Daphnia pulex: one gene and its partner. Each later gene encodes a partner of the first gene's protein in a complex. Links are inferred from orthologs where the notes say so. Each region holds a gene or a part of one and is shown in the gene's direction. Other genes may lie near its edges.

Evidence for each region.
Region 2: the proteins of protein catecholamines up-like (region 1) and protein-L-histidine N-pros-methyltransferase-like are in contact, whole or in part, in a crystal structure (PDB 8GZE), measured with the Homo sapiens proteins. The link is inferred for Daphnia pulex from reciprocal best matches to the Homo sapiens genes SLC39A7 and METTL9. Residues at the interface, in NP_001070984.1 of Homo sapiens: Gly65, His66, Thr67, His68, Glu69; in NP_057109.3 of Homo sapiens: Arg114, Thr115, Asn118, Arg123, Gly124, Met126, Met179, Asn210, Asp213, Arg214, Val241, His245, Tyr247, Glu249, Trp255, Tyr295, Leu296, Cys297, Glu298, Asp300, Tyr306, Val307, Leu308.

Annotation. Positions count from the first base shown.
Region 1 is NC_060017.1:7,407,603-7,411,578, reverse strand, and holds protein catecholamines up-like, read left to right. Parts: upstream 1-1,427; 5' UTR 1,428-1,515; intron 1,516-1,608; 5' UTR 1,609-1,702; coding exon 1,703-2,519; intron 2,520-2,584; coding exon 2,585-2,784; intron 2,785-2,851; coding exon 2,852-3,103; 3' UTR 3,104-3,282; downstream 3,283-3,976. Other genes in the region: importin subunit alpha-1-like, read right to left, coding at 1-322, 380-635, 696-846, 901-1,054, 1,123-1,185; B9 domain-containing protein 1-like, read left to right, coding at 3,852-3,976. UniProt on the Homo sapiens protein: Transports Zn(2+) from the endoplasmic reticulum (ER)/Golgi apparatus to the cytosol, playing an essential role in the regulation of cytosolic zinc levels.
Region 2 is NC_060019.1:9,214,650-9,219,039, reverse strand, and holds the start of protein-L-histidine N-pros-methyltransferase-like, read left to right. Parts: upstream 1-1,309; 5' UTR 1,310-1,549; coding exon 1,550-1,867; intron 1,868-3,792; coding exon 3,793-3,986; intron 3,987-4,390. UniProt on the Homo sapiens protein: Protein-histidine N-methyltransferase that specifically catalyzes 1-methylhistidine (pros-methylhistidine) methylation of target proteins.

The DNA of each region.
Region 1 (3,976 bases):
CGATCTCATCAGATATGTCTTCGCCTGAATAAGCAATGTAGCCGATTACCATCAGCGTGGGGTAAATTACGGTCTCTTCTTTGTGATAGAATAGCTCAACGAGCCGAGGGACGACTCCGGCGTTGATAACTTCTTTCTTTATTTCTTTCGGGCCATCAGTGAGATGAGAGAGAGCCATGCAAGCGGTGGCGAGAATCTCCTCGTCATTTGCGTGGATTAGGTGGTACAGGGCAGGAAGAAGCTGTCGGACGGCAAGGACACTCCCACCCAAATAGCGACACAAGTTGGACAAAGTCGAAGTGACGCTACGCAATAATGTAGCCTAATATTGAAATCGGTTAATAATAAATGTTCACCAAGGTTTCAAAAATAAACTTACTGAAGAGTTAGATTTGACCAAACTGAGCATCGCCTTTATAAATCCTTGCTCGATTAAGTAATCTCTTAACTTTGGTCCGTCTTTCGCAATAATGCCGAGCGCCCGGACAGCTTGCTCGGCCGTAACTGGATGAGGTGAACTCAACATTGACATGAAACCAGCAATAGCCCCAGCACTGACCACAGCTTGGACCTGAAAAGATCTGCATAGCACAATGGTGGTGAGAGTCCTGGCTGACTCTAACTGAAGTTCAGCGCTAAAACAAAAATGTCATGAAGAAATGTTTGAATAAGACCAATTTAAAGACACAACATACTTTTTGACACGACTAAGGAATTCTACTAGCTTGGGAACAACATTAGCATTGATGAGGATACGAATGAGTGCTGGATTGTGTTCCTCAGATAGGAATTTACGTATAGCATTGGTTGCTGTAATCTCCTTGTTTACATCACCACTGTTGATACCTACAGTATAAAGATTCATATGAGAATATATGTTACATAGAAAAAAAACTATACCATTAACTATGTCCTCAATGCTCTTCGCTGCAGCCATGCATTTTAGTACTTCAAGAGGGCTGAGGTCCTCATCGTAGACTTCAAGGATGTATTGGTTGTATCTATTATACAGCATGTGATCTTCCTTCTTGACTTCCTGCAAATTAACATTCATCTCATACATGAAAGATGAACAATTTGTTTAATTTAATAAATGACATTTGACTATCTAAAGCTTATTACCTCATATCCTCTGCAATTATGATTGATGTCCTTCAACAGGGTGGGATTTGCTTCAGTTGTCATTTTGATAGTTGATGTTTTGTCCAATTCTCTTGAATCACGGAAGTGACAAACACATGGGAACAGTTAAACCAACGACTGAGACAATGCTGCTGAGACTGAAAACATGAAAACTGAAAAGTTTTTTAAATACGCCATTTTTACATTTACTGATGTTGATGTTGCCAAATAAAAATATTCAGATGAAATTACAAAGACGTCATCTAGTGTGAGATCAATGAAGACTTGGATGTAGGTGCTAGGTGGCGTCGGTGATGTAAATTTTGACGCCTGTCTAGGTGATCTCTAAGCTTTTTTGCGTGTACTAACAAATTGGCAATTATCAAACAAATTGTAAACAACTAAGAAAAACAAATTATTTAATTATTATATTTTTTTAAAGAATAGGTAAGGGTAATATTTTAAATCATGTTTTTTGTTGTGAAGGTCTGTCACCGCGTCAGAGAGTCTGACTCTGAGCCCGAGTATTACCAGCTGTTTAACACGTCAGACTTGAAGCGCTTTCATTCGGTCTGTCAAAATGCTTGACCGAAGGTTCGTCGTAAAACTCTGCAGTTTTCTGCTCTTGGTAGGAATTTTTTTGACACTTCCACAGTTTTGCCATTCTCACTCTCACGACCATCACGGACATTCACATGATCATCATGGACACTCGCACGATCATGTAGAAGAGCGGCCTTCATTTAAGTATTCCAAGGAAGCGAATATTCCGAAACCTCCTCCACCCCCAGCCAAGAAAATAGAAAAGGAACATCACCATGGGCATTCGCACGAACATCACGGACACTCACATGATCATGATGAACACTTACATGATCATCATCATGACCATCACACAGAAAATGTTGAAGCTCCCAAAAGGACAACTGCTGCCTTATGGACAGAAGCCATTGGTTCCACTCTAATCATTAGTGTAGCACCGTTCATTGTGCTTTTTTTCATTCCCATTGACAGCAGCCCTGAACGACAGCCCTTGTTAAAAGTTTTACTTAGCTTTGCTTCCGGTGGACTTCTTGGTGATGCTTTCCTACATTTGATTCCGCATGCATTGATGGCTCATTCTGAAGATGAGGAACCTCATTCGCATTCTCATGGACATTCTCATGGAGAGGGTCATTCTCATGGGCACGACATGACTGTTGGACTTTGGGTTCTCTGCGGCATTATTGCCTTCCTTGCTGTTGAAAAGTTTGTTAGAATTCTTAAAGGTGGCCAAGGTCACAGCCACAGTCATGCTGAACCCAAGAAGGATAAAACAACTGATGCAAAAGATGCGAAAGACGGAAAAGCCAAAGAAAAGAAGGAAAAGAAAACCAAGGAGGTTGCCAAACCCTCTGGTAAATATTTAGTTTATTTTTTGGTAGTATGTCATTAAATCTGTTGTATTATTCCATTTCTTTAGGAGACATCAAGGTAGCTGGATATTTGAACCTGGCTGCGGATTTTACCCACAACTTCACTGATGGCTTGGCTATTGGTGCGTCATTTTTGGCTGGAAGAAGTACAGGAATCGTAACAACAGTCACAGTTTTGTTGCACGAAGTTCCCCACGAGATCGGGGATTTCGCCATTCTCATTCAGTCAGGCTGTGATCGCAAAAAAGTAATTTCAAACGCTCCGACAATCTCAAAGTAACAGGAATCTTAATTCTCCACTTTCTATTGGACAGGCTATCTTTTTGCAGCTTATTACAGCAGTGGGAGCTCTTACTGGATGTGCAGTTTCTTTATTAGCAGAAGGAATCGGTGCTGCTGCTACTGCCTGGATCCTTCCGTTCACAGCCGGTGGATTCATTTACATTGCCACCGTTTCTGTCATTCCTGAGCTTTTAGAAAACAGCAAATTCTCACAAACTTTAATGGAAATCGCTGCCTTGTTAGCTGGTGTCTATATGATGGTTTTGATAGCCGAATATGAATGAAAAATTGAGATACAAATTGTTTCTATCTAAATCCCATCTGGCAGGGCTAGACGATGGATTTTAACTTTCATTTCTACCACTTCGAACCCATTGTCTAGCCTGCATTATGCCTTGTAATTGTTTTGTCACCCGAGCAAGATACTTAATAAAGGTATAAAATAAATTTCACGATTCTATTATATTTTTTCTTATTTTTAATTTTTAAAATTTAGCTTTTTATTGAACTTTAACTGAGCAAACAACGCTGGGAGGGTAAGATGAGCCTATAAGTCTACTTGGTTACTATTCAATCAAAGGTGGTTTATTCATTGAAATTGCGTTATCAGTGAAAGGCGACAACTGTAAATAAAAACCATATAGGAAATAGAACAATGTTGGCTATTGTGTGTAGTTTGTGCGGTAACTGATACCAGATTGAGCAATTCCCTTTGACTGGGCGCCGAGACGAGTCTACAAAATTTTGACTTTCACTTATTCTCTTTATTATTTTGATGACTTATTCATCATACAAGTTAACTCATTCATTTCATTACTGAATAGAAAGATACAATCGCTAAAATGCAGAAAAATTGAATAATGCCCCCATTTATTTCGCTACGTAGTCATAGGGGCGGCGGCATATATTAGACGTAACCATGGCAACGAGTCAGCCCGACAATCGAAACAAACGAGCCAGCAGTCGGTGTATATTGTTGTGATGTAGAGAATTCTTAACGTTTTTTTCCAGTCAAGCACATCTTAATTTAGAATGACATCGGTAGCAACTTCAAATGGACCCGTCACATCTACTCCTCTGATAGCAACCAGCTTTTATTATTCCGTCCAAGGCCAAATCCGGCACGGAGAATTCCCGCTCAATTCCCAACTTTACGT
Region 2 (4,390 bases), on another chromosome or scaffold:
TCTTTTTTATTATTATTATCATTTCTCTCCTGACCCATTCTTCATTCCAACAGCAACCCGTTCACAATGTCTTTCTGTGTGTGTGCTGTGTGTGTGTGTGTCTGTCTTTTTCCAACAGCATTCCACCCATTGGGGGGAGAGAGAGACGGTCGGATGGATGGAGAGTCGCGTTCATTAGCTCCTTCATCGTCCGTCCGTCTTCTTGCACGACTGCACCTTTATTCTTTTTCTTTCTTTCTTTCTTCCAGTGTAGTATAGAGGATCGGGGGGGGGGGAAGAAAATAACGAATAATACCAATGTGGGGGGTTCTCCAAGCTAGACACAGTTCAGGAAACCTTTGACCCATAATACGTTGGGTAGCTGGCAGGTATAGATGTGACTGTGTGCTTAGGGACGTGCCATCTACCAATTCCAACAGCTTCTTATTTTTGTAGTTGTTTCATTTTTTTTTCTTTTTTGTTAGCCCCCAAAAGTTTTTATTCTCATGTTCCACTGTGGCCCAGGGTGTGACAAACGACACTGGGATGCAACGGGGCAGCTTCACAAAAACGACCGATTTCTATTTTTCTAGAAGAAAAAAAAAAAGAAAACTTACCCTCCCATCATTCACCAAAATCCTGATGGGGGTTGCTACACTCTCACATACAGTAGAAAATAATAATAATAATAAAAAGGCTAAGAAATCTTTCCCCTCTTCTTGTCATAACGATGCACAATAGATTTTGTGGTCACAGGTATATATATGAAGGAAATGTTAGACCTTATAGGGGCTTATATTTTTGTGTGCGTAATACATATATACTATGCATACGTCGGATGTGCATGGAAGAGAAAAAAAAAATCTTTCCCCCCCCGTTTTTCGTTGGCCACATGTATTATGTATGCACCGGAATTCAAAAATGGCAGTAGACAGTCTACTTTGTTTTTGTTCTCATCGTACGGTGTTGTATCCTCCTCACTATACTATACTCGAGGTTATTTATGGTTCAGCATTTTGTTTGTGGTACAACAGGACGTTAAACATATTGAAGATCCGCTTGGGATCACAAGACTATTCGGAGAATGTCTCTTTAGTTTCGCGTGTCTGCTGGCGAGTCGTGTCTGATTTTGTTGCCGGCAGTTGTTTCGCATCATTCCCGCGTGCATTAAATGTCATTTTCTTTTATGAATGAAAATGGCAGGAGAAAAAATCGCGAGGTTCAATTGATGCATCGCAATTTCGTTGCAAGCATTTTCGTTTCTTTTCTCTGCAGAGTGCAGAGAATAAATCACGATCGAGCCCGCCCGCCAAGTTGCTGTTTAGCCCTCACCTTTTTCATCGATCACGTTGACGTCGTCTGCTGCAGCCCACATTTTTATGAAAAAGAACGACAAGAGCTCGAGATTTTTTGAATGCTTTCGTTAAAAAGCATATGCTGTTGTTATTTATGCTGTCTAGGCTCAGCCCACTCTCGTTGCATTGAAAGTCACACTATAATCAAGCGGAAAAAGTAGTCGCACGGCATCTTAATATTTCCACATCAAGCATCAATTAGATCGTCCGTTTTGATGAGAAAGTTTCCCATGCCCTGCTTGTTGTGGCACGCATGTGAACTCGTTAATTATCGACTGAAGCCCACCACGCAGTTTCTTTGCTGCCTGCTTCTGTGCCTCAGTGCAACAGCCACAATGCCTGGCTCAGCGGGCAGGATGGATAGTGTTTCGATCCATTCCAGAACAGTTGATTCCTGTGATACTGCTGGCTGCCAAGAGTGTCTTCCGGCAACAACACCCACATCCAGGCCTTACTTCAGGTCAGCTCTAACCCGTTCTGTCTATTCCAAGATCCTGGTGGACGAAGAGTTCAAGAAATTCGACAGGACCAAGGTAAATCCCACACACACACACTTATATCCCAGCCCATCGTCATTCAGGTAACTCCCACATCTGCAAGGTGACGAGTCATTCACAGCCCTCACATTGATGAGAAACACTTGGTTGCTGTGTCTAGTGATGGGGCGGTATCAGTAATGAATCATAAATTAGTCTTACAGCCTAGGCAAACACAATGGCCGTGAATGGCGGTCTCTCGGGGATGTTAACCACATCGGGAAAATGAGGGCGACTCCTCTTAGTCTTAGTCGTCGTCCTTCGTAGTGCTTCTTTCACCGCCCCTGCCGCCCCACCTCACGACGTCGACGTTCCACCACCACCACCTTCTTCCCACTGGGTAGTTTTGCGGTCGGCTTTAATCATGTTTCCAACCTAGCAATTACAAACTCATTATTATCGAAGCTATTTTTCCTTTTTTCTTCGTCTTTCCTTCCCGAATTTCTTCTCTCGAGTCCAATTAAAAATCGTACAATTTCTCTCTCACCCTAAGCTCAATCCCTCCTCCCCCTTTTGTTCGTTGTAGAGACACTTCCGTCGTGCGGGTACCGAAGGAAAGGGTGGATTCAAGGGAATTATAGGTTTCAAATTGGAAGTTAAGAAGAAGAAGCTGGGACCTTGTTTCTTTTTCCGTCCTTGGCCATCTCGTCTATTTTTTCTTCTCCCTTTTCGTTCCCATCGCATTCAATTTATTCTGCCGTGAATGGTAAATTAGCTTCACTTTGGCGTGAAAGAAAAGACTTGTTCTTCTCTCTCTCTCTTCACTGGCACACACACACACACAAGACTTATTGTTTGTTCCCTTCTTTCTCGTTACTTATTCCCTCCTTTCTTTCTCCTTGCGACGACGTTCTTATTCTTTTTTCATTTCATTTACTTGTTCTTCTTCTTCTTCTTTCCTGTTTGAGTGCACAGTCGCCCGGCACTCCCGAACTTGCCGGCTTTAATGGCAGTAATTAGGTAGCGTTTGTTCTCTTAATCAGAGCAACGTTGTTGCTGTTGTCCGCAGGCTTCCCCCCCATCTCCGGCCTCCCGACAATAGCGAAACACCGAAGCAACAGTTTATTTTTTCTTCTTTTATTTACCATTAGAAACCTCTCACGATGTTATTTCATTTTTTAGACGCATTGTTTTCGTCCTCTTCTCTTCTTTTCAATCACTCACCTTAATAATATTTTCCCTCCCCAGTTTCACGGGACTTGGCAGACTACCGTGAAACAATCTCCAATCGAGAGTGGGTGGAACAAAAAAAAAGTAGTATTTTGGACTCTTTGACGTTTTTGACATTTCCTCGGTGAATGGGCGACACATGGCTTGTTCACAGGGCTCGCTCTTTTGGTGTGATTCAATTCCAACATCTTTTTTTGAACTCGGTGCAAATGTCAGTGGACAAGAAAAAGGAGGAGGGCGTCTAGCTGTCAAATAGATTGACACCTCGGTGCCAGCCTAATAGAAAATTCCATACGTGTTACATAATGCCGGGGCGGACTGACAATCGAACACAAAAACGTTGCAGTGTCACAGTGTGTGTGCGTGTGTTTAGGTTTCTTCTTTCTTCTTCTTTTCATTATTTCATCATGTTATATTATTTCGGCAGGTTATTGGCCTTAATGTTAGTTGGCCGGATGACCGCCGATGGTGCGGGTGGCGCTAGCCATCAAGCCGCTGATTTGTTATCGGCTATTACGAGGAAAACACACACACACACACACGCACAGACACGTAATAAGAACTGATAATATAGAGTTTGATTGTTCCGACTATGACGCCGTCGGCCGTGATCGCCCTCACTCGATTTCCTTTGCCCCGGAATGAATGGAAAAAGGCGAAGAGAGAAAAGAAGAATTAGATAAATGACGTACTGTTGTTTTGTTTCTTGTTTTTATTTTTATTTTTTTTGTTTTTTGTTTTTTTTTTCGCAGTGGTATAAGGTGAACGTGGAAGCGTTGGAGCCGGAGGCCGCCGAGTTGTTCCTCCAGCTGGACTGGGCCGACGCCGAGACGCAGGTGTTTTTGGAGCGTTGCCAGGAGCGCTCGGACGCCGTCTTCACTCAACTTTTCCACCTGGTGGCCCGCACGCTTCTCGCTCCTTTCGTCAGCCAAACATCCATTAACGGGTACGTTAAAAGAACTTGTATACCTACCTATTTCTCTATCTTTTTTCTTATTTTGTTTCTCTTTGGCCAAAGAGAGTGTCATGAAAACCCCAAAGGAAATTTTGTTTTTTTTTTTCTCTACAAATGGAAGAACGGACTCTCTCCCCCGTAGCTTTTTCTTCTTCTTCTTCTTCTTCTTGTGTACCGTCGGTGGATGTTGTTGTTGTTGTTGTTTGGGGAGGGATGCGACGCCCCACTGGGCTCGTAATTGGCCGACCGCTCGGCCGAATCCACGCACACACACAGACAAGACAAGACAGTCAGACAGACGAGACATATTCTTCTTCGATACGATCCAGCGCTCTTCTTCTTCTTTTTTTTCCATCCCGGTCCGATAACAACGAACGAACGAACAAACGCGAACA